4 linked regions of the Struthio camelus genome follow. The protein of the gene in region 2 purifies or fractionates together with the protein of the main gene of each other region. This does not show direct contact. Links are inferred from orthologs where the notes say so. Each region holds a gene or a part of one and is shown on either strand. Other genes may lie near its edges. The genes, in order: SERTAD4, PPP2R2B, MTCL1 and IER5.

Region 1 (7,735 bases), on a different chromosome or scaffold from region 2:
CCAACCCTAGAAAAAAAATCCCAACAGAGGATTGCTTGAATTTCCCTCAAGTGAGGGCCAAGAAATACAGGGAAAAACACTAGACTTGGCAGGTCTATAGTTTATCTACCTCAGAAGGATGAAGAGCTGAATTGACCCTGTTGGCACACAGACCTGTTGTTTTACCAGTCTAGATATTTCACCCGATCTTAACTCTTTCACATCACTCCTGTATCATGCTCATGTGAAATGGTATTATATATGTTTCCGATACAACATGCATTGGAAAGAATGGAAAAACATCACTGCACAGAGTCCGCGCTGACTTGCTGCCACCTGTCGTCATTTCCCCCTTCCCCTCTGCCTCTTCCCTGCGGTCGCTTGACATCTCCCTTCTTCGTGCCTTTTGTACCAGGTTATCGTTGCACCTTCCAGCGGTGCCCTGCTCCTCTTTTTCTACCAAGTACGTGGCTCCCTCCTTCAGACTGACTCCTCTGTTTACTGTTGATCGGGAACCCTCACTCCCTTTTCCACTCCAGCCTCTGGCGAACGCGGGGCCCCGGCCCTTTCTTCGTTCTCCGCTGTGGCGCTAAACTGGGAGCTCGCTGCTCAGGAGCGAATGCTCCGTATCAGTGTGCTGAAATACCGTAGTTCGTCTCACCTGTTCGTATTATCGAGATATGGAGGAGATCTTTGTTTTCCTTCGGGCCTGTCTGCGTCTGCTCCCAAACCATGGCCTGTCTCTTGGAAGTCCAGCTTTCCGTTTACATTCAGCACAGCCAATTCTAGATGTTTCCCACTTAACCCAATGCTTGCAATCTTGCTGTTCTCGTTACCACCAGAGCCTTGAATTCAGGGATCTGCTTGACTCTTGGCGGTCATTTACTGTGGCTCAGTTGCCCCAGTTTTCCGCTGCTTCACTCACAATGTTTCTGTAACTGCATCCTTATCTATTCAGGCAATAAGCATTTGAATCAAGGCCCTGGTATTTCCCATCTAGGCTTGTAACTTCTTCCCCCTTGAACTTCTGGCATGACAGCTAGCTTGATCTACTCAAGCAAAAGCTCTTACGTCTCCTTCCATGCCCATTGCTGTGGTCCGAGCCAATCGCCTCCTGCCTTTCCTCCTTATTTTCCTGCGTCAAGTCAAGTCCTTTGTTTTCCCGTTCTAGGCCGTCTCAGCTCTGCCTTGGTTGTTGCTGCCCCACGACTGTCTCCACTGCGTGGCTCTTCTCGCTGTTCACCGGGGAGGCGGGCGTCCCTGTGCGTTTGTCTGCTTCTCGCGGGAGAGCCTTTTGGCCCTTTCCCACGCTGCTCTTGCCCACAGAGCCTCCACCGGATAGATTGGTGATACCCAACTTTGTTGCAGCAACCGTGAAGACTAGGCAGCTATGAAAGAGGCTACGCTGGAATTGTTTATGTGCGATGTTGTTGTTGCTTTTTTCATGTATATGCAGCACTCTGTGCAGTATCTTTCCCTTTCCTCTCTCTGGATGCCGCTTGCTTTCTTTAGACCCTGGGTGCAGACAAGCACTGCTTGTGCGCAGGGCTTGTACAGGGGGATTTCTGCAGTGTGAATTTCAAATAACACCAGCAAGGTAACAGCCACCAACATGAAGGCAATGATATTTCCTAAGCACTATGATCCACAGTGATATAGTACAGTTAAGAAGCATTGCTCTGTCCTTAAGTTGTCTTGTTATGCTATGAAAATACTCCAGAACAGGGTGTATGATAAATACTGAAACCTCAAGAGCACTTAAGTACAAGCCCAGGACTTAAGAAAGGCATAGCCCCTTTAAGACTATTCTCTTGTCCTTATTGATCTTGGTGAGACCTGCAGCATTATTGTAGCAGGCATTTTATATTTAAGTTGGGGTTTTTAGAGGCATTCTGGAGCTATATAAAGAGCCCTTTTCACTGACATCGGCATCAGGCTTGTTATAATGTGAATGGCATCATTACAGTTCTCTCATTAACATCATAATGGCTCTGGAGGAACAGTGAGTGAAAACCCCGGCAAATGGAGTGGAGTAGCAATGTATAGTAGTCGTACTGTGCAAAACCGCATACGGAAAAAGTTTGACATTTTAACCTTCAGGCTGCTGTAGATGCCTCAGGGTGTCCTTGCACTGCATGCGTTTGGCTGACAAAGTGGAAAAACTGTGGTAGCCTAAGGATTGAGGGCTGGGTTCAATAAAAAATTGTGCCTGGCTTCCATGCCACTGAAGCCCACACAAGGCTCCCAAATGGATTTCTTAAAATTGAATCCAGCCCTAAGTGTCAACCTTTTGCTGTAATTTTGTATAGTACATGTATTGTGTGCTCAAACGTGCATCTTTCATCCTTTACTTCCAGTGGTGTTAATGGAAATGTAACAATGCATGTGCTGTTCTGCAAGGTCTCATTGAAATGAATGGGATTTTGGACGAAATCCCTACACTACATACAATAATGTACTACAAATGGGCTGGGCTTGTGGCTGGGGGATGATGAGATCTGGGTTCTATTTCTAGCTCTGACGCTGGTTTGCTCTGTGACTTTTGGCAAAATATTCAAGAGTAGCTTTTGCCACCCTTAACGGGGAGAAACAGTATCTTAATTCTTTAGGAGTAATGCCGGAGCTCTGGCAGAGTGCCGACGTTAGGTACGGTACCACTCTGTCGGTAAGACCGACCTCTTCAGCCTTGCAGTTGCGTGGTGCCGAACTTTACACGGAAGGAGGCTGATGTTTCAGATGTGCCGAGTACTCGCAGCTCCCCTCCCACTCATTTGCAGCAGTTGGAAATCAGTGCTTCTGAAAATCAAACAAGAGCAAATCGCATGCCCAGAATCGGAAGCCCTTTTCAAAGACTGGCTCTCGGCTTCTGTGCACTGAAGCAATTTCTTTGCTACAAAATGGGGCTTATTTTGTAGCTGAGTGACACCACGCCGAGACCTACAATTTGGGGGGGGGGGGAGGTTGCCTTCTTTTTTCCCCCTAAGGAAGCTCTATGTTTTGTTTTTATTCTATTTGAAAACATGGAGAATGTGCATGGACAGTAGCTGTTTATAGAAGTGAACTGGCCTGCCTCTATTAATTTTGCATGTTGTAAATAGCAGCAGCAGTTCATTTACTTTACAGGCTGTCCACAGAACTCAGTTTTTCAAGATAAATCAGCAGCGCTGTGCAGAAGGCATCCCAACACTTCCTTCCTTCCTGTGTGTTTCTGCTTAAGCATAGAAAGACCTGTTTGTGATGAAACATGGTAAAAAAATGCACAGTCCAGATCTCCAATGCTATTCTCATAAAAAATTTCCACAAAGAGATGCTGAATTCATTACAAGCAAAGAAATACCGACTTTCCACAAGCGGCAGCGAGTTTCTTCCAACCCTTATTCTCTAAGGACAAATGCTGCATGTTGACATCATGCCAACATTAGGAGACTGATGTCTGACTGTGAGTGATGCCTCAGTGCAGATTAATGAGACGAGTCCACGGGTGCTTTCTAACGACAGTGTAATCCTTTCACGCACGAAATCTATGACTTTTTAAGCTAGTTTGTAGGCTTTTTTTTAGATCTTCTCCTTAGGTCAGCCGACTCACCCACTCGTGGTTTGGACCAGACTTTCCATGTGTCGGCACTCAGCTGGCAACCCAAGGGGCAGGGAACAATGTGTATTGTCTGTGTCATGGCTCGTTCCTAACGGGCCGGTCCGGTGGCCTGGGGTTCCTCGTGTCAGCGTTTCTTTCTCCAGAAAAAGCAAGATGGCATTAATGCGCTACTCTGAGAAAAGGGGCCGGGGGTCACGTGTAACGTGTGCTTCCTTGCCTGTAAGCCTGGTTCAAGCTAGAAAATAATTTGATTATGAGGAAGGGGTTTATGCATCTCTTAGTGCATTTGCGGTGGCGCCTGGTGGCCTTCACCGAGCTAAATGCTCAGGGATTTCAGCTGACTTCCCATTCGCCTCCCGTCCTCTGCCTCAGCGAGGAGCGCAGCGCAGACCCGGCGACGCGCGCAGCTCAGGAACAGAAAGTTAGTGCGTGCTGGAAGACCGTTTCTTAATAACGTAGCAGCCTTGCGCATTCTTCAAGGATTTAAGAAAACAACCGGCAGATGTGAATGATTTATTCTTCTCCTTCTCCTGCTGCCGTTTCTTTTCTCCCCCCCCCCCCCCGCCCCCGACTAGACAGAGCTCCGCCGCTAACGCAAACAACCGCCGGGCTTCCACCTTGCCCACCTGCGGCCCCCTTCTCGCCCTGCGCTTGGGCCCTTGCGTCCCCCCCGCGGGAAGATTGCACGGGGAGGAAACTATATCCCGCTTTCTTCGAGAGAGGAGGAGGAAGAGGAGGAGGAGGAGGGGCGAGGCTGCGGCTCGGGGCATTGTTCCACGCGCCTCTGCCGGGGAGCCGGTGCCGCTGGACTCATCCCCGGCCCCTGGCGGAAAGTTTGCTCGGTGCGCGGCGCTGCGCGGCGCTGCGCGGCCCGGCTGGCGGCGGCAGGAGGCGGCTCGCAGCCCGGCGCTGGCCCTGCGGTCCCCGCTCCTGTTTAATATTCTGCCTTGCTCCGCCGATGTTGTGCTTGGCTCCTGCGGGACTGCAACTCACGGCTTGAAACCGGAGCCAATTTTCTGTCTTAGTCTCGCAGTGTTTTGACTGGAGGCAGATCCAGTTCAGTCCGAGCGGGGCTAGTGGAAACAACTACCTAAGTCTCTTCTGTCTGTTCCGTTTGGGAGGGAAGAAAGAAGAAAGAAACGCAATCCCCAACTGGTGTGTGCGCGCACACACACGCACACGCACACACACACACACGCACACACACCCGCCGGTGCCGAGCGCGCTGTGCCAACGCCACCGGGAGAATATGGGAAGCGAGTGAGCGGATCCGTGCCGGTGTGTGAGCGGTGCCGGGCCGGGCCGGGGGGCAGTGGGGGGACCCCGCGCCCTGTGTGGGGAGGGCTCGGTCGGGGCTCGGCTCTTTTGCTTGCGACAAGGAGGGAGGGGGGAAAAAAAGAAAAAAAAAAAAAACAGGTTGGCAACGTACGCGTGCCCGCCTGTGTGCATGATGCATCTGCTCCGGCCGCGGCGGAAAGCCCCGGCGGAGGGCGGGCAGGTGAAACGCGGCGGCGGCGGGCTGCGGGGGCACCGGGAGGGCGGCTCGGCTCGGCCCGGCCCGGCTCGGCCCGGCCCGGCTCGGCTCGGCTCGGCCCGGCTCGGCGCCGCTGCGCGGGGCGCTGACGCCGCTGCTTCGCTTCCAGGTGCCGGGCGCCCGCGATGACCCTGGTGCTGCCCATGCAGCGGCTGGGCCACCCCATCGCCGCCGCCGCCGCCGAGGGAGCCGCCGACCTCGCCGCCTGCCGCGCCCTCTGGGAGCCGCCCTGCTGCGGCCGCCCCGGCCCCGGCCCCGGCCCCGGCCCCGGCCCCGGCCCCGCCGCAGCCCCGGCCCCGGCCCCGGCCCCGGGCGCAGGTAGGCACCGCCGCGCCGGGCGGCCGGGCTGCAGGGGCAGGGGGCGGCGGGTTTGGGGCAGGTGTATGAAACCCGCTGGTAGCGAGCGGCGGGGGCGGCCGGGGCGCCCTGACCGGCGCAGCCGCTCGTCCGGCTGGCTGGAAAGCGGGGAGGAAAGTTTTGCCCAAGCCGCCAGGCCGGGGGATGTGTCGAGCCTGCCAGCGCTGCCCCTTGAGACGGTCCTCGGTGGCCCGGGCCAGCGCACGTTGCGCGCGGTGTGTGCGTGAGGCAGGTGAAGGTTTTACTTTTGATCGCTACGGACATATGCGAAAATATGTGGTGGAGCTCTCCTGTAGCGAGAGAGGGAAATGAGAAGTATTTTGTTTGGAGAACCTCCGGCAAACCGCATGTCATTTGTCATATCTGATTTATTGCCCACAGGATCACATTACAGGGGAATTTCAAATCCTGTAACAACACCCAAGATCACATACTTTAAAAGGAAATATGTGGAAGAAGAGGATTTTCATCCACCACTCAGCAGCTGTACACATAAAGTATGTTTTCTAGTAGTCATTATTTTTACTCCGAGTTTCAGATGCTTAGTAACGCTTGACTGACCCATTTCCAGAAGGCTGAAATACTCCACTGAAATTAGGAGAATGATCCAGCTGTTTGCTTAGAAATGAATAGTTCTCACTTGTTCGCATTTATTGTTTTGTTGTCATCGAATGGCTTCAGAAGGAAAGGCATTTCTTCAGCTATAACAACTGTAAATGTAAATGCTCAGAATAACTTTTGTGTTCTTAAGAACATAGTTTTGCTCTTAAGTAGCTTACATCATCTTTATAGAGACAGTTCTCTAGAGTTTAAACACCAAAAATGAACAATGTAAATAAGAAGGATGCATGTTTCCCCATTCACTCGAAACTTTTTACAGAGGGGAAAATAATAATAGGTTCCATATAGCCCAAACAGGTATAGAGTTTCTCTAGAGAAACAGAATGACTTGAGAGGGAGTTCAATCTCCTTCAGTATTTAATCCTGTTTATAGAAAAGCTAATAACTACAAAAGAACAGATTAGGAAATGAAAAATATATTTTTTTTAATTAAAGCTCTCAAGAGAGGGACTAGAGCAAACACTTCTCAGGCCGGTGAATACATAAATTGAAGTCTAACTTTTTATGAGAGATTTTATGCCCTTGCTCAGTCCTGTAAGGAACTGAACACCTGCACTGATGTGCTGAAGGCTAGCTTGCACCTTGAGACCTCCTCCTTACCTGACTGGATCATACCTGGCCCATGGTACTCCTGTGCTATCCGTTTACGATTGGAGATAGAGATGACATAATACAATGTGATTAAAGCACTGCTCAGGGAAGGCAGTAGTACCATGAGAGCCCCAGAGGCAGAAGCCAAAACAAAGCAAGAGGCAGAGCGAGTTTCTACATTATCTTCGCTTGCATTGCAGTTCCCACCTGGAGAGGCAGCCTCTGAGACGAGATGGGATTTCAGGCCTCATTCATACCACGGGCACCTCCTGGGGAGGTTTGGCCATTTGGATCCTATTTCTCCGGAGAGATTTTCACTTAGGAGAAGTGAGCAGTAGTGACAAGCTCGCTCCCCCAGGACCTCAGGATAGCCAAAGGAGTTTTCAGCTACAAATAGTATTGGCTGGAAGTGAATAATTGACCGGAAGGTGAAAAATTGCCCTGTCGTTAATTCCAGAAGATGTTTCATCTGCTTTCAGAACAATGAATAAATGGCACAGAAGGTGCTGAAAAATGTGCTCTATTTATACATATATGTACATATATATGTTGTGTGTGTGTGTGTGTGTGTGTATACATACGTTCATACACACATCATTCTCTAATTTCAGCCAACTCTTTTCTTGAATAGATTGTTGGATTTTTGTACCAGTGATTATTTGCCTCCTAAAAATGAACAGTTGCTTCTCCTTTTTAATAGCATGAAAAACAGCTGTAGAGGTACTGGTAAGATAGACCTGTCTCAGACATCATTTTGTGCTATTGTAGAAATGTATCATGTCAGAAATCTCGGGTCACCGATTTGTGCTTTTCGGCACAGATACGTTTTCTACTCTGCAGCGCTGAGCTCTGGGGGAGGGAGGATTCCCACCAGATTTCTTTGAATTCCTTACACGTTTTTATACCTCCTCTGCCCAGTAAAGAGCGAGCTATGTTCTCGGGTTACTTCTTCCCACGGCGGGTATGACGGTAGGGCCCTGGAGCCCCTCTCCAGGACAGCTGGCAAAGCATTTGTAGTGGAAGGCCTTTGACAACTTGTAACTACTGGTGGCTCTCCA
Region 2 (6,980 bases):
TTACCTTTCTAAGATGCCCAAGCAAGATCATCTAAAATGTCACTTTTTAAAACTAGACTGCCTGTGTCTACAGAGTGCGCTAACAACTGCAGTTCACAGCTGGGTAGTGTTGCCCCAAAACATAGCATGGTGTGTCTGAAGTCTAACTGAGTATAAGGAAATAATTTAGTTCTTGCTTATGAGCTGTTAGGACATGTGATACTATGGAATGAACTAATATTTATTTAGGAAAGAAAAGGTAGAAATGGAAATTAATAAAACATCAAATCCAAGGTTATGCATGAAATAAGAATGAATCCAACTATTTTTTGCAATGGCATAAACATTTTTATGGCATTGCTCAGCTTTAATTGGGGTAATGCCGTCTGTCGTTGTTTTTAATCCAGTTGCCAAGATTTTCTGCCAGTGCGACGCCTAATATTTAATTTAATTTAAAACTAAAGTGTTGAAAGTTTAAGAAGGCATGGAACTTAATTTTTCCTAGGACACTATTCTGCATACATCCATACTGAAAGTGTTTTGTATATTGAAATTGGAAAACAGATCTGTTTAAAACATGTGCTAGAAGTATGCCTTTGGAAATAAATTCTCCCTCATGAAACATATCATTGTTAAAGGGGCAAAATACTAGCCTTTAGTATTGCAGTTAATCATCCTGTGTCTTTCAGCTCAGTTTGAAGGCCACCATGAATTCTTTCTCATCCAACTTCCATCCATTTAAAGAACTATTTGGATGGTTTCTATAATATTTATTGCAATAGTCCCGTTGTAATATGACATGCCACATTTATCTCTAATTTGGAAACTACAATCTCTAGAAAATCTGCAGTCTATAAAATGGAGTCCGTTTACAATCTTTTCATGTGGAAATGTTTCAAGAGGGTAGAAATGGTCTTCAAGACTTTGTTGAGCAACTCAAGGAAACAGAAAACCTGGTCCATAGTTTAAAAGTAAAACAAGTGCCTCCTGATAAATAACACATTGTTAATGGCTGAAACAACTTAATTATAATTATTATTATTATTTAATTTTAATTATTTTCATGGGATAGAGTGGTCTTTGCTCAGGTAATTACAACAGAGAATTAGAGGCAAGTGGCTCACCTACTTTATATCCTGTTTGACATTCTGTCATATATATTCCTTTAATTTTCTTTGCAAAGGTATTTTATTTGGGCCAGATTCTGAAGTTATTGTTTGTTTTTTTTTTACTGTCCCTAGTAAGGGAAGAAAATTATTGGCTTTGTTGTTGTGTTTTTCCTAAGAGCTCAATGACTTAAAAAATGAAACTCAAATTCTGTTGGAGTTAATCCATGCAGGGTTGCGTCAGTTTGTGTAGAAGGTGAGTTAATTCTGGAGGATTCAAAGTGGTGCACCAGGATAGGAAATTCTTAGCACCAACAAAAGTGTGTTTCCTTCCCTGTCCCCAGATTTGCACTAACTTGTAAAGTAGAATTTGCAGCTTTTCAGTAGTCTATAAGATGACCTCTATCAGACAGACAGTGAAAATACACTTGGACCAAAATCTGTTCTAATTCAGCTTCTTTTCTGACTGACTCCAATGTGAGTGGTACCTGAATCCATGGAGTAATATCAGGATGAGGACAGGATTTCAAATGGCCAAACATATTTATCAATACCTAAGTTTGAGTACAGAATTAGGCCTTTCATCCCTGCTCTCACTAGAAGCACCACTGGATCTTCAGTCGCTGTAAATAGTCAGAGGCAGACTTACCAGTAGAAATCTATTAAAAATTAGGCTTATTTAAAAACAACCAGAACCACATTAGATACCTGCCTTTGTTTGTTATCTATATTAAAACTGTTCCTAAAGATTTTTATAAGCAGCTGCGTCGTAACAAACAGTCCAGTGGATTGACAGAAGGCCTATTTATTTCATACCAGCCCAGCCATTTACCGTAGCCGATACAATGGCAAAGGGGTCACTTTTCAGGGCTGTTGAGAATATAAATAATTCTTCTAAAAACTCATTTTTGCATTTCATGAAGAAAAACCCTGATCTGATGCTGAGAAAAAAAATGTAGCTTTTCTTTAACAAGAGCTGCAGACAATGCTGAATTACAGCTGTCCCTAGCTGGGCAAACAGCCAGCAAGAAAACCAGGGTTTGTTAACTCATGGGGTTTCATACTCTCTGTCTATTCTCCTTTCCAGGTCCATTCTTGCAAACAGGCAAGACATTGAAAACCACAAAAATGCCATTTCTCAGAAACTTGTTAGATCTGATTGGATTCTCAGGCTAGGAGGAAGAATTTTAAGTCACAAATCCTTTTTTGCTTCAAGGAGTTGGTTATTTCCTTTTATCTGAGAGGAGGTAATAACGATACAAAAGAGCTTTCTGGAAAGGGCATAATGACATTGCTCCTCTCAACCAGCATGTTGTTCTCTTGCTTTTCAAACCTATTAGCAAAATTTATGAGGCATTAATGTTTATACAACAATGTTAACAATTTTTTTGTAAATTTGTAATTTTTTTCACATCTTCATGTCATATTCTTGTAGCTGTGCCTATTGTTTGATGATGTTAAATTAGGAATCTCACTAAACTTAATATTCTTTCAAGGTCTTATCAAACTGTGTCATACCCTCAGACTCCAGGTCTTTTTGTACTCTTAAAACTCCAGATTTCACCGTATTTGGCTTGACTCTTCCAAAAAACTCATTCTACAATTTGTAGGTACTGTTGTAATGCATTGTATATGATTATTTTGCTGTTTAACATATTTGATATCTATTGATCTGTATTAATATGCAAAAAATGGCCATGATATAAATAAAAACACTTTTGAAAGTTATAAGCATAAGTAGTTAGGATTTCCTCCTCATTTTGCGTTTCCTAATCTTTGCATCATTTTCAATTTTAATGTTTTTCATGGAATTATAAAAACAGACAACAAATAAATGGAAAGACAGAGCAGCAGACGGATGGATGCCTGGACAGATAGTTGTCTGGAGCATATATGTATAACAGAAAATGGGAAGATCAAATTAAATGTAAGTTTCAAATAAACTATATTCAGATTTCCCTTTCTTTGACTCTAAAACTTGAACAGGTTATTTCCTCAGCATAGTTCTGTTAGGACAGAAATCTCACAAAGACATGTGGCTAGGCTACGAGTTGGTTTGCTTAACTTAGTTATACCTCTACCTATACATTATCTGTCTATCCATCCTATTTTTTCTTTTGTAAGAAAGGAATAAGTTAGAGTATAGCTTGGTCTCCTGATTAAGATCACACTTGCAGACTGTGAAACACTCAAATTTTCTGGTGCCACATTTCAACTGTGTGTAAAATGGGTAAAATGGTATTTCCTTCCCTCACGACTCCATTGTGCTGCTTTCTTCACGTTTGAAAAGTGCTTAGAGATAAAATGTGTGTTAGGATAAGAGGAAGCAAGTTGTCCTTAGAGGCTGTGAATTTTTTGCTACAGTGAAAACTGCATTACAGAAAGGAAAAATTTGCTGAGCTGTCAGGAGAATGAGCAGCAGTAGATAAAATCCTGATTTCTCTCGGAGTGTCTTAACACAAGAGTATTGCTACAGTAGCAAGAGCAGTTTAGAGATACACAGTTTACTAAACATGCCTTATAATAGAAATGCCTGTAGTATTCGTTTAAAACAAATACAGTATACTTCTGATTCCAGGCAAATTTTGATAATATTGTTATGATGCATCTAATGTGGTTTCATTCTGCTGAGAATCACTGCCAAGCAGTTCACAACTACATTGGCCATAAACTGGAAAAAATGTTGTTGTTGTTGTTGTTGTTGTTGTTGTTGTTGTAGCTCTTTTTTTCTCTGTTTCACTCCCTTTTTAACAACGATGGAAATGATGTGGGCATTAGTATTCTGGTGAAGAGAGGCTGTGACAAAGACCGTGACTACAGGGCCTCCTGACTCTTCTATGATGCTGCCAGTGATGTAGAGGGGACTGACTCCAATTGCACCATTTTCAAAATAGCCCTAACATGGTACAGAGAAAACAGACAGACAAGCAATTCATAACGCAGGCATAATGTTTTCAGTTTTGCAGTGTTAGCTTTGCACTTTGTATGGAAGAATGATACCAGGTGAGCAAATATTTCTCTTCACGCAGGGACTGCAGATATTTGTGTGCCAATTTGTATGTGCATGTGTGTGTGTTTGTTCAAAAAAAGACGAGCTGTACAGAAGTGTGAGTATATCTTCTTTCTGCATTTGTTCCCCTGGCAGGATTTGGAAACCTCATGCAGGATGTGCTGTGGTGTTTTAGTCAAGTAAAAGGAACTATTGACATTGGGGTGACAGAAGGTAGGTTTATTTTTCCTTTTGTTGCTTTGATCAAAGATAACTTGTTTGTCTTGTACTCTTTGCCTAATCAATGTATGGGGGGGGTTGCTCACATGTTGTTGGGTGAAACTGCTGGCAGAGTTGAGTTATGCTTCTTTACTCTTCTGCTTTTCTCCAGTATTTATGTACTTGAAAAAGGTCACTAAAATTAGCTATTGATCCAAAAGATTCATTTGAAGCCATTATGTCTTAAGCATAGTAATAGTCTTAAGCATCATAGTAGTATGCCTTAAGCATCAATAGTCTTTGAAATACATTTCCTTTGATTTTCAGCTTTTATTTACGTGAGCGTTTCAGGTAATTGAGACCACCTCTGCCACCATAATATCCTTTACTGGAATCAGTTGGATTCTGCTTCTGGGTATTAACATAAGTATTAAAACACTGCTCATTCTTGTATGCAGGGTTAAAATAATTTACAGTGTATACACTTACACAGATATGTGCCCGTGCAGGAGGGATTAACACAGGCAGTTGGGGGATTTAAGAGCAGAAGACACATAACATCTTCTTTCACACCCAGTAGCTTTCAGGGTGATTTGTACTGCTAAATGACTTGGGCACTTCTCTCCCTGCAAGCACACCCATTCTATATTTGGCATTTTGACTGCAAAAACATGGACAATCAAAAATAAATAATATATTCAGTTTTCCTGACCTTGAAGTTGAATATATTCTTTCAGTCCCTCCTACGTTGATGGTTCTATTTTTAACTTCTTAATGGTCATTTTCTTAGTCTTATTTCCCACTTCCATCTTCCTTTCTCCTATTGCATTGCTCTCGTTAATCCATGAATTTCTTTACCTCTCTATTTCACCATTTATTCCCTATATGATCCCTATACTTCACATACATACATACACACACATATATATGTATATATACACTATATCTATACTTTGCCCCTCATGTATAACTAAGATCACATCCCTCTTCTCCTAACTCTCCCTTTACAGGCAGCATTTTTGTGCCACAGGGAGACCAGCTAAACCATGGTGAAATCCTATCTTCCAATGTGTAGAGGGGTTTGGTTTGTGTTGTTACACTGACCTTTTATATTTGCGGGCTGTCATATTTTTCCTGTCATGCTTTGTTTAAAGCTCCAGAGAGCATGAGATGTGTTCTCTGGTGTGACACTGCAGAATGACCACAGGATGGTCAGAGATCTATGGTACAGCATATGAGAACGCTGCCCATCAGGTCTTAACTGCCCTGGCAGAACGCTGCCAATCTTTTCTGCTTGAAACCAGTGTGTAGACACTACTAGTGGCATTTCATTGCTCCAACTGAATGGCTTTAGAAGTGAGAATGATTCCAGGAAAAGAGCTTGCGGAAAAGTGCAGCAGTGCCTGGTAAAGTGCTGCTAATAGTGCGACTGCTTGCAGCTCCTTATGTGGATATTAAGATAATAAATGTAGGAACTGAGTTAGCTTACTGGATGTATTTCTTCTACTTTGTGGTACTCCCTGAAGCATAAGGCTTACTTTAAAAGCACAGTCTTGTAAGACTGAGAAGGGAACTGAGTTAGCCCAAGTCTCTGACAGCAGAGCTCTAACTTCTCCTCCTCTAGGGAATGTGATTCTATCTGGAGTATTGTCATGTGTTTTGCTTCAGTGGCAGTTATTTGTTGCGCTGCTTTTTGCAGAAGAGGGCTGCTGTCTGTAACCTCTAGAGACTACAGTGGTGCACAAAACTCAGAATATTTAAAAATGTGTTAAATCTCTGGGAAAAAATAATTGACTGCAATTAAAATCACAGCGTTTTTCTGTTAAGATGCTTTTTGCAGAAATTACTACAAGTGCTTTGAACTTTTACTGTAGAATCTTAAAATCATTTTAAATGGTCAAGGGCACTTATTTGCCAGTTCAGGACTGATAAAATGGTAGCTTGCCTCTTCTTCCTCACTACCCTTCCTTCACGTAACCTGTTATCAGCTGAATGCTATAAGCTGTTATTTTTCACATTTGAGACTCGATGCCAGAGGAATACAGAGACATGGTGACAGAAAAGGACCCCTGTAATCTTTGTGGGAGGTAACCTGAAGCCACGGAACAGAAAAGCCTCAGAGATGTTACTTTAAAGGCCATATTCAGTGAAAAAAATAACAAAAAAAAATCACGTTGATCTGTAAAATCTTGTCAACAGGAACAGATGACTGGGCAGAAAGCTCAGCAGAATATTTTAGGTATGGGATTGGGCTATTGGCTGCTACGCTGTTTTTGCTTGTGTTCACATGTGAATATGTGTGTGTGTATACAGATGTACGTACACATATATCGCAGCGTTCCAATCTCTCCCCTTCATCAGAAGTTTATCCATAATTCGTTGGCTTTAGTAGTCTTCATGGCACATTTCTGACCTTTAGAACTCTTGCTAACATCCAAGCATCCTGAATTTACAAAATGTAATTTCATTAATTATTGGAATGCATGCAGTTGTATACTGTTAGTTGAAAGGAAATGTTGCTATTATGTTTACTATGTACTGCATCTTTGAATGTAGAGGATCCTGCCGCCTGCAGCAGAATACACTGTAATTCTGGCTTTTAACTGATATTTTAAAAAGATGCAGAGAGTAATTCTGTATGCCTACTGTTTTCCATGCACACATAAACCCACATACATACACACTTT
Region 3 (7,442 bases), on a different chromosome or scaffold from region 2:
GCCTCAGCCCTAGAAAGGAATTTAGGGAGCCCTACACTGCCAAACTGTGCCTTATGCTTTGTAAAATGTTTGGTAGCTAATCTGAATAGTCAGGCTTAGCATCTACTTTTCACAATTATTTGTGCAAGTACAACTTGGTTATCAAAAGTCTGCATGTATCAGGCAAAGGACATCGGCATTGCCAAAATAAATTTGTTGTAAAAGTGTTATGTCTGATTATTTGTATTATTCAACCACCACCCAGACGTCCTATTATGTTAAGAGCTGCACAAGGCTGTAAGAAACTGTTCCACCACCAGGGATGTATGACTAATTTAAGATAAGAAACAACAATTGGACATTAGAAGCAAAATAAAAAGAATGGGAGAGGAGAATTAGGGTAAGCGTGACAGGCAGTCTGTGGTGGCATGCTCCTGCATGAACCATTAGTGAGTTTTATGTAAGGGGAGAAATGGTTTGATATAAATAAATAAGAAATATGATACCTGTATTCCTTACTGGGCATTTGCCTAGCCCAATAGAGATTTCTGTGGTATGTACTTAGCTTTCATATTAGGGTATTATTCTCACTCACACCATGCCCAGTTACACCACTTTTTTAAGGATCTCCAAATGGCACTGCATAGATAGCAGAGGACAGAGGAACACAGCCAAAACACTACAGCTGGGCTCGTACCACAAAAATTCGCCATCTGTATCCAGCTAGGCACCTGCCCAGCAAGGGTTATTGATACTGCATTTCTTTGTTATTGAACTCTTTATACTGCTAGAGCAATATAAAGGGATCTTAGTGTGACTGAGCTTTGGTCTCAGTCTAATGTGTGTTTTCCTGTTTTACATTTCCAGTTCGAATGTGATTTTGTTTGAGTATCAATGTAAATAAATCACTTGCTATGATGCCTAGTTGAACTGATGCTGCCTCTGAATGCAAAGGATAACAAACCTTGCTGTATACTTCAGTGAAAGGAACACATACAGAATACAAGGATAAATGTTTATAGAGGTATCTGATCGCCAGTCCCCTTGCTAGTCTAAGGTCACCCTGCCAGATCTTGGGCCTTTAGTTATTCTGAAAGTAGATTCTGGGCACCTTCCCAGTAAGTCTGACTGAGTTGAGGTCCTCCTTGTCTTTGTCTTTTGGAACTTGTGGCCCATAATGCACAGTGATATAACAAGACACCTTACAAATAAAGCATTTAGTAGCTGAAAGAAAGCATTTAGTGAAAAAAGGGTCATAAAATAACAACAACAACAACAATCTGTATGCATGTGTTTACAATGTAAAATTTACAAGGTAACCTAAGCAAACTGGACTCTGCCAGGCACTCAAGTGTCACAGATTAATTCCCCCAGATAATTCCCAGCCCTTTGTGAATGTGCTCTTTTCTCAACCTTCCTAAGTCTTTTCCCCTCCAGTGGCACTGTCTCTCAACTATTGTTTGTAGAAAAGTGGCTTATCTTGAGCTATACTTTTTCCTTTCATTTTCCTTTTGAATTGAACTTTTGTGTTCATGGAGCAACTATGTCAAAACAGAATACTCATAAATTATGACAGAGCAGTTCCTCTTCCATCATAAGACTTAGAAACATTTAAAATCTAGTAGGTGAAGCTGGAATTCCTGTCTGTTCTTAAAGGTTACAACAAAAAGCAAGTGAGAGTGAACGTACTAGAGTAAAACAACCTTTATTGTATCTATCATCTAGGGTGACATGTATAATAATTAATATTACTTAAGATGAAATACAGCAGCCATCATCTCTTTCACTCCAGAAATTTAGAAAAGGAGGATTGCTCAAATCGCACAATAGTATGTTGCCGAACAAACCAAGAACACAACAGCTTAGCAGAAAAGACTGATACATGCAGTAGTCTGACAGAAATGCCATGGCATTAAAATGTAACAATAGTGTATATTTTATAAGCTGTTCTTCTAGAGAAAAGTCTAGCAGAGCTGCTTCGTATTGCTTCTATAGACTGGTCTTCTCATCCAATTAACAATCAATTATTAGTACTGTACACCGAGGGAGAAAAAGTGGCTTACGCTTGACAGCAGGCTTGTTGTGTTCTCCTTTCCTCAGAGTACTTTGTATAAATGGTAAAGGAGTTGGCCCCACACAATCTGCCTCATATCTATACTATACGTACAGACAGGCAGCAGCAAATGCAATCTTTGCCACACTGCTCAAAAATACTTTGCCATGTGACCTAAAAAGAACATTTGGATGAGGGAACTTAACTGACCAGCAGCAGTGCCAATCAGGGAAAACTGTAAGCTGTAGCAGAAGCTACATTTGTTAAAGAGAAAAAAAGAAAATCTCTCCATGCTCTGTGGCAGAGTTTGCTCTCCTGCCCCAGCCACTTGTAGAAGGACCATGCCACTCTCTTGGGGCAGCCAACCCCTCGGTGGGGGACATGTGTGACCCCAGGATGCGCCCCCAGCTCTTCAGCCCCAGGTCGGGGGCTTTAACCAAAGTGCTGGAGCCCTCGCAGGCGTCAGGCACTGAGCGTTGCCCCCGGGATGCAGGGAGCCGCCGAAGGGCTGGTGGTTGCCGAAACCCTGTCATCAGGCAAGCTCACGGGGCTGGCATGTTAACCAGGGAGGTACTGAGGAGCCGCTCTTAATTTCTGGAGACCTGTAATACAGTTCTGATTTGAATAATTTTTCAGCACTATAGCTTTTACAAATAATGACTACCTGTTGCATACTAATAGGGTAGCATCTGTGTTGCTCTTCAGCAGGATACATCAGTTTTGCCCACTAAAACTTCTCGTTTACCAGGACAAGAAGTCCCAGGATACCAGCGCCGTCCCAGTTCTTCCCCAGACGAGCTGACTGGCCCATTTCAGGTGACTCTGCGCATTGGACCTGGCTGCCACCCCGAGACCAGGTTTCAAACCCTTTCCCCAGAGCCGGATGCTGACCTTACCTCAGCCCGCCTGGACTGTTTTTGTAATGGTATCTAGTGCCCTCAGACTTCAGCAGTCCCAAGGGCTTTTGCCTTTCAGGGTAATACTTTGCACCTAGACGAGCAGGGTGGGAGACCCTGTGTGCCCAAGGGTGCTGGCACGCCACCCCCCACTTGGACTGCACTTGCCCAGAGCATGCCGCAATCACTGCTGTTCAGACTCAGATGAATTAAGCCTCCCAATAACTTTATGAGACAAGCATGCATTTACCATCTTTCTTTGACAGATAAACGTCAGGGAGCCACCGTGGCTTGTACAAGGTCTCACTGTGCTTGAGTGGAGGAGTCAGAAACACCCTGACTGTTGCCGTTGTGCGTTACCCAGTTAGGCTGTGCCTCTTTCCCACGCTTTAGCCTCTCCTCCCTTTCATGTGTTCTTCGAACGCTTCGCAAATTTAAGGTCTTTAATTTCATATCCCTGTGCTCCAGAAGGATAGGTCCGTGCCTTTTGTAGTTTAGCCACAGCCAGGAACTTGCTGATTCCCTCAGATACTCAGCCCTGCCTCTGGGTGAACCTGTGCCTGCCTTAAGCAAAGATATAATGCGGTGACTGTTGTTTTGTTGCTGCAGATCTCTGGAGAGAGGGTTTTCGTGGAGTCTTAGCTTGGAAGGGAAAAAAAAATCAACACGCAACGCTATACAGCTCATGGCTGGGAAATTAAGATGTTGCCCCCTCCCACCCCCAAATCAGGCTTCCTTATAGGAAGTGACTGGCAGAGGCGCCCCTACAACACGGCATGCGGGGAGCTCGAGGAAAGTAGTTTGCAGCGAGAGCAGCTTGGCTGGCTGACAGAGGGGGCGGATCCTGCGCACAGGCGGGGAGCGCCGCGCCGGAGCGGCCCCGGCAGCGGCGGGGCTATTTCAGGAGCCGGCGGAGGCGGCGGCCGGGGCCGGGGCGCGCCGCGCCGGGGCCGCGGGCACCGACCGGGGAGCCATGGGGTTAGCCGCGCCGGCGGGCTGAGCGAGGATTTGCGAGCGGAGGCGAAGGCAGCCGGGAAAGACTCCTTTGCATCGGATTCGAGGGAAAAGGGAGTCGTTTTCTTTTTTTCTTTCTTTTTTTTTTTTTTTTTCGGGCTGCATCACAACTTGAGCTGCATCGAGGCGAGCCAGGCAGAGAGGGGAGCGGGAGGGGAAGGAGAAGGAGAGGGAGAGGGAGGAGGAGAAGCTGCCGCCGAGGGACTGGGATTCGTTTTATTGAAACAAATCAGTGCTCGGGAGAGAGGGAGCGAGGGGGAGGAGGGGGAGGGCAGGACGAGGGGGATCGGGAAAGAAAAGTGTGAGGGCTGTGGCTGGGAGAAGCAGAAGTGATGAGAAAGCAAGCGGGGAGGCTGGAGGAGGCTGCTCGTGCTGCTGCGACCGGGCTCCGCGGGCACCGCCGCTCCTGCTGCCGCCGCCGCCGCCGCAGCCGGGCGCCCCCGCGGCCGCCGCTGCCGCCCCGCCGCCCCCGGCCCGCGCCATGGAGGCGCTGAACGGCCCCGGCCCCGGCCCCGGGGACACGCTGCGGCCGCCGCCGCCCAGCCACCACCACCCGCACGCCGAGAAGAAGCGGCTGAACCGAGCCCCGTCCCCCGCCAGACCCTTCCTCAAGGACCTGCACGCCCGCGCCGCCTCCGCCAAGCCGCCGCCGGCGCCCCCCAAGTCTCCCAGCCTCCCCGGCCGGGCGCAGCCGCCGCCACCGCCGCCGTCGTCGCCTCACGCCGCGGGGCTGCTGGCGGCGCAGGGCCGCCTCTCCCGCCGCCCCGCCGCCCCCGGGGCCAAGGCGGCCGCCGCTGCTGCCGCTGCTGCCGGGCGGGCGGCCGCCGCCAAAGCCGCCCCCTGCGCCAAGCGGGCGGCCCGCGGGCCGGAGCCCGGGCCCGGCGGCCGCGGCGGGGGGCGGCAGCCCGGCGGCGAGGCGGCCCCGCCGCCCGGCAAGGGCAGGAAGGCGAAGCGGGGCGCGGCGGCGGGCAGCGGCCATGCGGCGGCGGCGGCGCTGGCGCTGGCCCGCGTCAGCCACACGGACAGCAGCTCCGACCTCTCCGACTGCCCCTCCGAGCCGCTCTCCGACGAGCAGCGCCTGGCCCCGGCCGCCAGCAGCGACGCCGAGTCCGGCACCGGCTCCAGCGACCGCGAGCGGGAGCCGCCCCGCCACGGACCCGCCGCCGGCCCCGGCCGCGGCGCCCCGCTGCCCCCCGGCGGCCCCCGCGGCGACCCCGCGGCCCCGCTGCCCGCCCCCCCGGGGGCCGCCGCCGCCGCCGCGCCGGGCGGAGGGCGAGCGCCGGGCCGCGGCGAGCCGCCGCGGGCGGCCCAGGAGGAGCTGCAGCGGGAGATGGAGGAGCTGCGCTCGGAGAACGAGTACCTCAAGGTGAGACCCGCCGAGACCCCCCCCCCCGCCCGGGGCAGCGGTGACTCGGGGGTGCCCGTCTGGGGCGGGGGTGGGGGGGCCGCGCCGCGGACCGCCGGGTTTACTCGCGCCCGTCGGGGCCGCTGCGGGCAGCGCGGGCGGAGGTCGGCGCGGAGCGGGGCCGTAGCAAGGCGTCGCAGGGGCAGGTAGGGGGCTTCGGCGTGTGGTCGTGTTTCTCTGCAAAAGGCTTGATTTATAGAGGCTGGATGAACGCGAGGCCGGCGCGACGGGTGCGGTAAGAGTGCTGTGGCTGGGCGGTGCGTGATCCCTCAGCCATGCCCAAACTCTTTCTGAAGCAGAGTGAGCACTCCGCTGGTTACCGGAGACCTCGCTTTCCAGGAATTGTTATCCTCAATATCACCCTTACAGGAAAGAAAAAAAAAAAAACAACTCATTTGATATCGGAAAGAGGACAGCGTCTTGTCTGTTTATCGTGTTACTTTGTCACTGAAGAGCCAAGCCATTCATTGTGAAGTACTAACGAAGTAACAATAGCAGCCGTAAAAGGAGTCTTTGCATCGTTGTACAGGTAGAAAAGCACACATATGTGCATTCAGCCTCTGAGAAAACGGGAAAGCTAAATTCAGGAGTGCTCTGAGCTGATCTGACCTGCAGAAACCTTTTGTTGGACTAGTACTTACAACATGATCTTTTGGCACAGCAAAGAGGCTGCATCCATAAAGATCTATAAATAAAATAAACTGAGATAATCATGTAACCACAGATACTGTACCATTTGACTCTGCTGCTGGTGAGGACGATCTTTGTTCTCTGAATATCACAAACACCATTTCTTCTCAAGCAAAATGACCATGGGCATCCAAGGGATTTTTGCTCTAGTGAGGACTGGAGTTTCGTAACCTTGGGAGAAAGGAGGATGGCGAAGAGGTAGACTAGGCTTGTTAAGCAGTTTTGGCTAGGAGACAAGAAACGATGTGCAGCATAGCAAAAGGTTAACAGCAGGGGTGCTGCAAGGTTCTGTGCTGTCTGGTGCTGCTTCATGAACTGGAATAAGGAGTGAGCAATGATACAGCAAATTTTTCAGATGACACAGATTTTTTTTTTGATGTGAAGTCCAGCAAAGACTGGACAGAACTCCATAGGCAGCTTAATCAGGGGAGGTGAATGGGTAAAAAGTGAAGGCAGAGGATGCGAAATAAATCTCAGTACTGAAAATTCAAAGCATTCAGAGAGAAAAAGGGCTGAATATATACTTTTCTAGGTTTTAAATGCGTTGTTTTAACTCAGGAGCATCACAGTGGAAAGAGCAATGCTCAGTGTGCAACTGCAGGTAGTACTAGATTGCATTAGAAACTGAATGGCAAAAAAGCAAAGAAAATATCATAATGTTTTATAGATTCATAGCCATTATATGCACTGGAATACTGTGGGCAGTGCTGGTCATCTAGAAAAGGATAATGCAGAACTAGAGCAATAAAAACTATTGGGGCATAGCAAAGCTCTTACAAGATTCATATTGGATAGAAGACTCTGTAGTGCACTAGAGAAATGCAATAAAGGTCAGTAAAAAGATGAATAGCGTAGAGAACCTTTATCAGAAGCTTCTGTTCTGCATGAGAGAAACAAGGGGACATGTAATGAAATCCAGACTTGTTAAAGGATTGCTTTTACAAATAGTTAAACTGCATTGGTCTTTGGGGTCAAAAGCCCAGTAATACCCAGAAGAGGAACTGGCTATCCTTTCAGATGACAGGGTTTGCAGACTTACAGTACTTAACTTTGTGAAGCAGGTGATGAACTTGGTGAAGCTGACCATTATGAAGAATGTGTTAAGCTGCTTGTTTCGTGTCCAAGGTAGTTTCTAATTATGGGAGACTTAAAAAAAAAAAAAAAAAAAAAAAAAAAGGGGGGGGGGGTTGATGTTATGGAGAATGTTACCTGCCTACTGTGAGTTTCCGTGCCCCTTCCTCTGAGTTGTCTAGGACAGGCCACCGTGAGGGTACTGGACCCCTGGTACTGACCAGAGGACCTGATCGACAGATCCTAGGTAGCGAGCTTTATTCTGCGTCATTTCTCATTTCTTGCCCTGTGTGACAGTGTCTTCAAGTCTTTCACCTTGATGTCTCCATCACCT
Region 4 (5,990 bases), on a different chromosome or scaffold from region 2:
GCGAGAGAGAGGCAGCTAGGCAGAGCCAAGCTGGGACTGCAGTACAGCTGCTCTTTCGGTATTTAGCAACCGCTTTCAGCGCAAAGGGAGCGCTTTGGCACATTAGGTACTTTCTGAGCAAGACTTCAAGTGCCACCACAGCCCCACCCCCCCCGCCCTAGTCGCAGTCTGACTTCACGAGCACATCACGGAGGCAGCAGGACTGCCCAGCGCTTCCCACCACCTCCCAGCTCTCCGCAGTCAGCGCCCCAGAGCAGCGCCGAGCAGGGAAGAGGCTGCAGCCAGAGGAGCCGTCGGATCAGCGGGCGGGATCCTGGGAGGGACTCCAATTGCCCTGACAGAAGTTTCCTTTCTTCCCAGCTCCCAGGAGAGCTGGGCTCCAACCCACCCCAAGCCTCTGGCTACGCAGGGTGGATCCAGCCACAGACACGCAGCAACCGCACCCTCGCGGCTGCCTGCCCGGCTCTCGGCTCCCCCCTCCCCACGCCAAGCGGGTGCACAAACAGGGACTACGCTTATACAGTTGGAAATATTTAATACGTGTTGTACACGTAGAGTTACATTTTATACAAAACGAGATACATCACTGAGGGAGAATACTGTACAAAATCCCTACCAGAGCCCCAAGCCTTTATACAACAAAGACCGGGACTTACCAAGCCTTAACAAACAGGCTCAAGGACTTTCCATCAGAGCGTCTGTAAACTTCGTTTCTCTCAATAAACACTTTTAAAAAAGCACCATGTAAGAGTTCCGGCCCTAAGCCTTTCCAAAATATAGACTTTATTTAATAAACTTAATACTTCCCGAGCTTAAAACGTGAGCCGGCGGCCAGGGCCGCCCAGGGCAAGTGCTGGTGCCCGGCGGCCGGGGCGGTGCAGGGCGCGGGGTCCGCCCGGCGCCGCGCTGCGCTCCCGCGGCCGAGCGGTCCGGTGCCGCGGGGGAGGGGGGGGTGGAGGGGGAGGGAAGAGGAGGAGGAGGGCGGGGGTCACCTCTAGGTCCGGCTGCCCGTCTGTCCGCTGGGCCCCCCCTGCCCGCGGCGGGGGGCGAGTCTCTGCTGCCCGCGCGCGGCGGGTCAGAAGGCCACGATGGCCGTGCTCCAGGGGTTGAGGGTCCGCAGCACCGGCTCGTCGCAGCAGATCTGCCCCGGCTCGGCCGCCGCCTCGGCGGGCGCTGCTGCTGCCGCCGCCGCCTCGCCGCCGTCGCGGGGCGCTCGCCGCCGGCCCGGCGGCTCCTTGCCGAGCAGTCCCGAGAAGCCGGAGCCGAAGATGCTGATGAGGTTGGCCACGTTGCCCGTCTCCATGTCCTCCTGCTCGCCCTGCGACGGCGGCGGCGGCGGCTCCTCCTCCGCCTCGCGGCGAGGTTTCTTCAGCGGTGAGCCCGCCTGGCCCCGCTCGCCGGCGCCGCGCTTCCGGGAGCAGCAGGGCGGCAGCGGCGCCGCGCCCCCCCCGCCGCCAGCGCAACCCGCCTCGCCGCCCGCCGCCGCCGCGCAGCAGCAGCCGCAGCGCCGCGCCCGGGGGCTCTCGCAGTCCGCGCCGGGCCGCCGCGGGCCGCCCCTAGGCGCCTCGTCCTGCGGCGGCGGCGGCGGCTCGCCCGGCGCCCATGCGGCGGCGGCGGCTCCGGGCGGCGGCGGCTCCTCCGTCGGCCCGCGGGGGGGGGCGCCGCCGGCCGGGGGCGGCTCGGGCGGGCAGCAGGGCTCGCTCAGGTAGACCTGCCGGGCGCTGCGCAGCACCAGCGACACCAGGAGGTTCTTGTGGAGCTTGAGGCCGCCGCGCTGGCCCCGCGCGCTGTAGATCTTGCCCAGCGAGATGCTGACGATGCGGTGCGCCTCCAGCTTGAACTCCATGGGGACGGGCGAGAGCTGCGCCGCCGCCGCCGCCGCGCAGGGCCGTAACGTGCCGTGTCCCGCCGCGCCGGGCCGCCCGCGCTCCGCCTCCGCTCGCCGCTCGCTCGCGCCGCCGACTGAGGCGAGCCCACGCACCCGGCCGCTTTATATAGTGCCCCCGCCCCGGCCAATCAGGGCGCCCCGCTGGCCGCTCCAACCGCCGGCGGGCCCCCGCGCGCCCGCGCCAGCCAATGGCGAGGCAGGGCAGCGGGTTCGAACGCGCGCCCCGCGGAGAGGGCCCTTAAAGCGGCAACGGCGGCGGTGGGGCCCGGCCTGCAGGCCACGCGTGGGACCACGTCTGGTCGGGAAGGGCGAGGAAAACCCGAAGCCCAGCCCAGCTCCTCAGGCCTTGCCCGACCCAGAGCGACAAGCCCAACCGTGCGGGCCGCTGTCGGCTCCCGTGGTTCTGTTTTCATTTGGGATGGGGATTTATTCTGGTTCTCCATCTCCGATGGAGATTTATCGGATCGGGAGGCAGCAGTGGGAGTTTTGGCCAACAACTGAAACATTTCTTAAAAAAAAAAAAAAAAAAAGCAAGAACCGCCCGTGGTTTTGTGAAGGTTACAAATGATTATTGCAATTTCGCCATCAGTCGCCAACATCGTGTAGTTTGAGAGAAGGGACGTATGTTGGGTGGAGGGGGCAACTGCACCTTTCAGTATTTCAAGGGAACTACGCCCCCGCTTTGACCAGAATCACATCGCTTCCCAGCTCCTTGAAGGAGGTTTCTCAGGTTTGGCGACGAAGCTCTCAGAAAGCTGACGATAAAAGAGGAAGATCAAAACCTGGGGGCAGGACAGCATAGGAACGGAGGCTGGGGGAGCACAGCAGGACACCAGCATCTCCAGCAGAGACACGGGGACCACGGCAGCCTGGCGCACTTCCCGTGGGAACTGAAAGCTTCCCGCCGCTCTGCCGTAGCAGTCGGCTATGAAGCCCCCAGGCAGGGCACGTGCTCCAGCCTGCCCTGGCGGCTCGGGGCCGCAGAGGCCAACCACCACCCCAGACATTCAGCTCAAGGCATCAGAGAAATCTCTGGGGACGCTTCACGCTGCTCCCTCTCTCCTTGCGGTCAGCTGCACCCCCACGTGCCGTTTCTCTCCGCAGAACCACGGCCTCGTGCAGCGACCAGGACGGACAAGCTCGGAGGGGTGTTTCCGGGCTCAGAGCGGGGCCATCCCTTTTTACTGAGAAGCGATCACCGCCTTCAGTGAAGGTGGCAGAAGGATACAAGAAATGAGGGTGAAATTAAGGAAGTTAAATGCCCTGCCCTGGAGTATCAGTTTCTGTTCCTGCTTCTTCAGCAGAGTTCCTGCCTGAGACTTGATGCGTTGCTTCAGTCCTTTTTCATAGGGATTCACTCACAGATCCCCCCCAAAATGAGAACCACAGTTAGCAGTGAGAAGCAAGACGGGAGCTGCAGAAGTGCCGGTTTTTGCCATCGAGACAAAGGTCAGCGTACGGGGGCTTTGAAGGAGCAAAGGGCTATTTAATAGCGAGTCCCTGTTATGCATTTCCATCAGGCCCCAAATCCCCCAAATGAGCACACAGCTGATAACCCCGGGGCTGCACTGGCTGTTGTAAAACAGGGACAGTCCTGTCAATGAACACCAGCAGGCTGGGGTGAAATCCAAATCACGTACGTCTGCAAAGTGACCTTATTGGGGGCAGCTGCTGCAGCCCTGCTGTCCCCTCTCCTCTCCTCTCCCCGCTGGAGCAGTCTGCCCCTTTCGCCACAGCCCTACCGGGCAGCTTGTTTGGGGCAATGAATTTGGCACTGAAGTGATCGCTTTCAGCTGGATCAGCTTCCTCAACTAGCTGTGCAGCTGCACCGGCGTTGGCGAAGGATGAGGCAGGCGGGGAAGCGGGGCCAGGGCTGTTCCCAGCCCGGTACAACAAGGTGCAGCACACTGGCTTGGGAACATGCCCTCTAAGACAGGAATAAGAAGCTATATCCAAATGTCATGTGATCGTGTCATTACAGACGTATCTCAGGACGAACAAGCACGAGAGGGGTGGGATGCAGGTTTCTTGAGCAATCTTTACGTTGGCTTGTCCTACCGTCTGAGTGCTTCACGTGGCAAGCATCTGTGTGCTGCTGAGTGAGGATCGCCTGGTTGGGTTTTCAATGCAATGCGGCGTATAACTCTCTGGCCCCTTATCGCAGGCTAGAGACAACGGGCTGCAAGCACAGCGTGGCTAAGCATTTCTCTCAGAGGTGTTTTTTAGAGATATACTGCCTCCTTTGTCTCTCCAGATGCTCTGCTGTTCTGTCTAGCCCAACTCTCACCTGCTGGTTGTTAGAAAACTTGCTTTCTCAGCACTACCTGCCACGCTCCTGGGGTTTCAGAAACAAGTCTTTGTTTCGTGCAGTCAAAAGGAGACAGAAAGAAACCAGCTCTTTTCTTTTTGAAACACTTCAAACTTGTCCCCAGATTCCTCGACAATTTTCCCCAGCCTCCCCGGCACCCTATCCAGCACACGAAGGCTATAAATGCAGTCATCTGGGGGTGGAAATAGGAACATCTGTGAGCTGAAACGCAGAGGACAAGGAGAGCTTTTACAAAGGAAAAACAGCAGAAAATGGATGTTATCGTTTTGCCAGAAAAGAGAGGGACCCTCCTATTTAGGCAGACACAGAAAAATTTCTTCACCACCCCAGCATCACCCATGCCAACTGCCTGCTGCTCCTTGGTGAATGCATCTCGCCCGCCTCCTCAGCATGCAGGACTTCAGCCTTGCTGTGCCAGTGACTCTCAGATGCCCTTTCCTGAGCTGATGCCTTACTGGCAAGAACTGCCACCGTGTTCTGGCTTCCCGGAAGGACAACAGGGTGGCTGGTAACAACAGTAACAAAAAACAAGTGAAGATTCAACCACAAACACATTAAGACACAGTTGACATGGCAGGAGCCTTCCCTGAGAAAAATCCAAACTCAGAACGAATGCATGTTTTTCTCTAGCTCAAATGCAGCTGAAAACCCCGAAATGCCACTCTCTGGACACTTCCTTTTGAACACGATGGTATGGTCTCCCAAAACAAAGCAGCCTGTGGTTTGACTTCTAAAAATTTGCACCTCCTCTCGCACAAACCTGCCAGGATGCCTCTTCTCAAATTACTAGACTGGAGCACTCGAGCGTGCTGTACAACAGCCTAGAAAGCCTTTCCCGACTCTCCCCCTCTCCGTGACAGCGCCAAGCCTTTCTCGGGTTGCAGAGGAAACCACCGCTGCAGAGACGCGGGCCGGGGCTCCGCCACCCACACAGGGCCGTGGGAGGCAGGAGGAATGCGAGTGACAGCGGTGGGAACGGAACCGACGGCGCTGCCGTCCTCAAGTTTCCAGACCTGCAGAACCTGATCCTGCGCCTCGGAGGGCCAGCAACTCCCTGGCCTTAAGCTCTCGGGTCAGTCTAACCAGCTCAGTCAGGTCTGGGTTCACATGTTTGGGACTTCAGTCACTCCTCTTCACTTACAGCCGCCATGCCTGCCCGCCACCAGCCGCTCCGTCCGCGCTGTGATGTTAGGTTACGCTCTTACAAGATGGTATCTCCCCTCGCTGTGACAGCAGATGAGTCACTTGCGGACCCTTGAGCTGGCTTGCAGGACCTGGGCCTCTGGTGTCATCAGCAGAGATGACTCTAGTTAGAAGAATAAAATCAGATTTCATATTTTTCATCTGACTGTATTCCTGCTGATTTCGTGATGCCACGTGCCTGACTCAAAAGCTGATGAAGACCAGTGGTGCAAAGCAGCTCTGTGAGCTGAAAAAGCTAAATATGGGTGGAAAAGACACTGCATAGGATCTATGCTGAGTAAAGGTGACTGCATCCAGAGCTGACTGACTTGTTCTGCCACCCGCCACCTCATCAGAATGATACGAGCCAACATTTCTCTCTGGTAGCCACCACCTACATTTTGGCCACCTAGTCTGCTTAAAACCATGGGCTGGCAGCCAAGGGAGGGCCAGTGTCCATCTTTTCTGCCTTCGTCAGCAATAAACATGATGTACCTTACGTATACATGTCATTAGTGCTCAGAAAGGGGCCTTTGAGATCCTTGCGGGGAAAGAGCAAAGAAATGCATCCCCTGAGCAGGAGGAGCTAAT

What was found.
Region 1: the proteins of PPP2R2B (region 2) and SERTAD4 purify together in Homo sapiens (co-immunoprecipitation; 3 studies listed by BioGRID and IntAct, with this or other methods). This does not show direct contact. The link is inferred for Struthio camelus from reciprocal best matches to the Homo sapiens genes PPP2R2B and SERTAD4.
Region 3: the proteins of PPP2R2B (region 2) and MTCL1 purify together in Homo sapiens (affinity purification with mass spectrometry; 4 studies listed by BioGRID and IntAct, with this or other methods). This does not show direct contact. The link is inferred for Struthio camelus from reciprocal best matches to the Homo sapiens genes PPP2R2B and MTCL1.
Region 4: the proteins of PPP2R2B (region 2) and IER5 purify together in Homo sapiens (affinity purification with mass spectrometry; 4 studies listed by BioGRID and IntAct, with this or other methods). This does not show direct contact. The link is inferred for Struthio camelus from reciprocal best matches to the Homo sapiens genes PPP2R2B and IER5.

The regions. Positions count from the first base shown.
Region 1 is NC_090944.1:113,208,014-113,215,748, forward strand, and holds the start of SERTAD4 (SERTA domain-containing protein 4), read left to right. Parts: upstream 1-4,735; 5' UTR 4,736-4,852; intron 4,853-5,217; 5' UTR 5,218-5,233; coding exon 5,234-5,426; intron 5,427-5,846; coding exon 5,847-5,962; intron 5,963-7,735.
Region 2 is NC_090954.1:623,103-630,082, forward strand, and holds the start of PPP2R2B (serine/threonine-protein phosphatase 2A 55 kDa regulatory subunit B beta isoform), read left to right. Parts: upstream 1-3,976; 5' UTR 3,977-4,078; coding exon 4,079-4,088; intron 4,089-4,230; coding exon 4,231-4,308; intron 4,309-6,980. UniProt on the Homo sapiens protein: The B regulatory subunit might modulate substrate selectivity and catalytic activity, and might also direct the localization of the catalytic enzyme to a particular subcellular compartment.
Region 3 is NC_090943.1:116,633,756-116,641,197, reverse strand, and holds the start of MTCL1 (microtubule cross-linking factor 1), read left to right. Parts: upstream 1-4,423; coding exon 4,424-5,308; intron 5,309-7,442. UniProt on the Homo sapiens protein: Microtubule-associated factor involved in the late phase of epithelial polarization and microtubule dynamics regulation.
Region 4 is NC_090949.1:6,943,362-6,949,351, reverse strand, and holds IER5 (immediate early response gene 5 protein), read right to left. Parts: upstream 1,976-5,990; 5' UTR 1,847-1,975; coding exon 1,076-1,846; 3' UTR 522-1,075; downstream 1-521. UniProt on the Homo sapiens protein: Plays a role as a transcription factor. Mediates positive transcriptional regulation of several chaperone genes during the heat shock response in a HSF1-dependent manner. Mediates negative transcriptional regulation of CDC25B expression.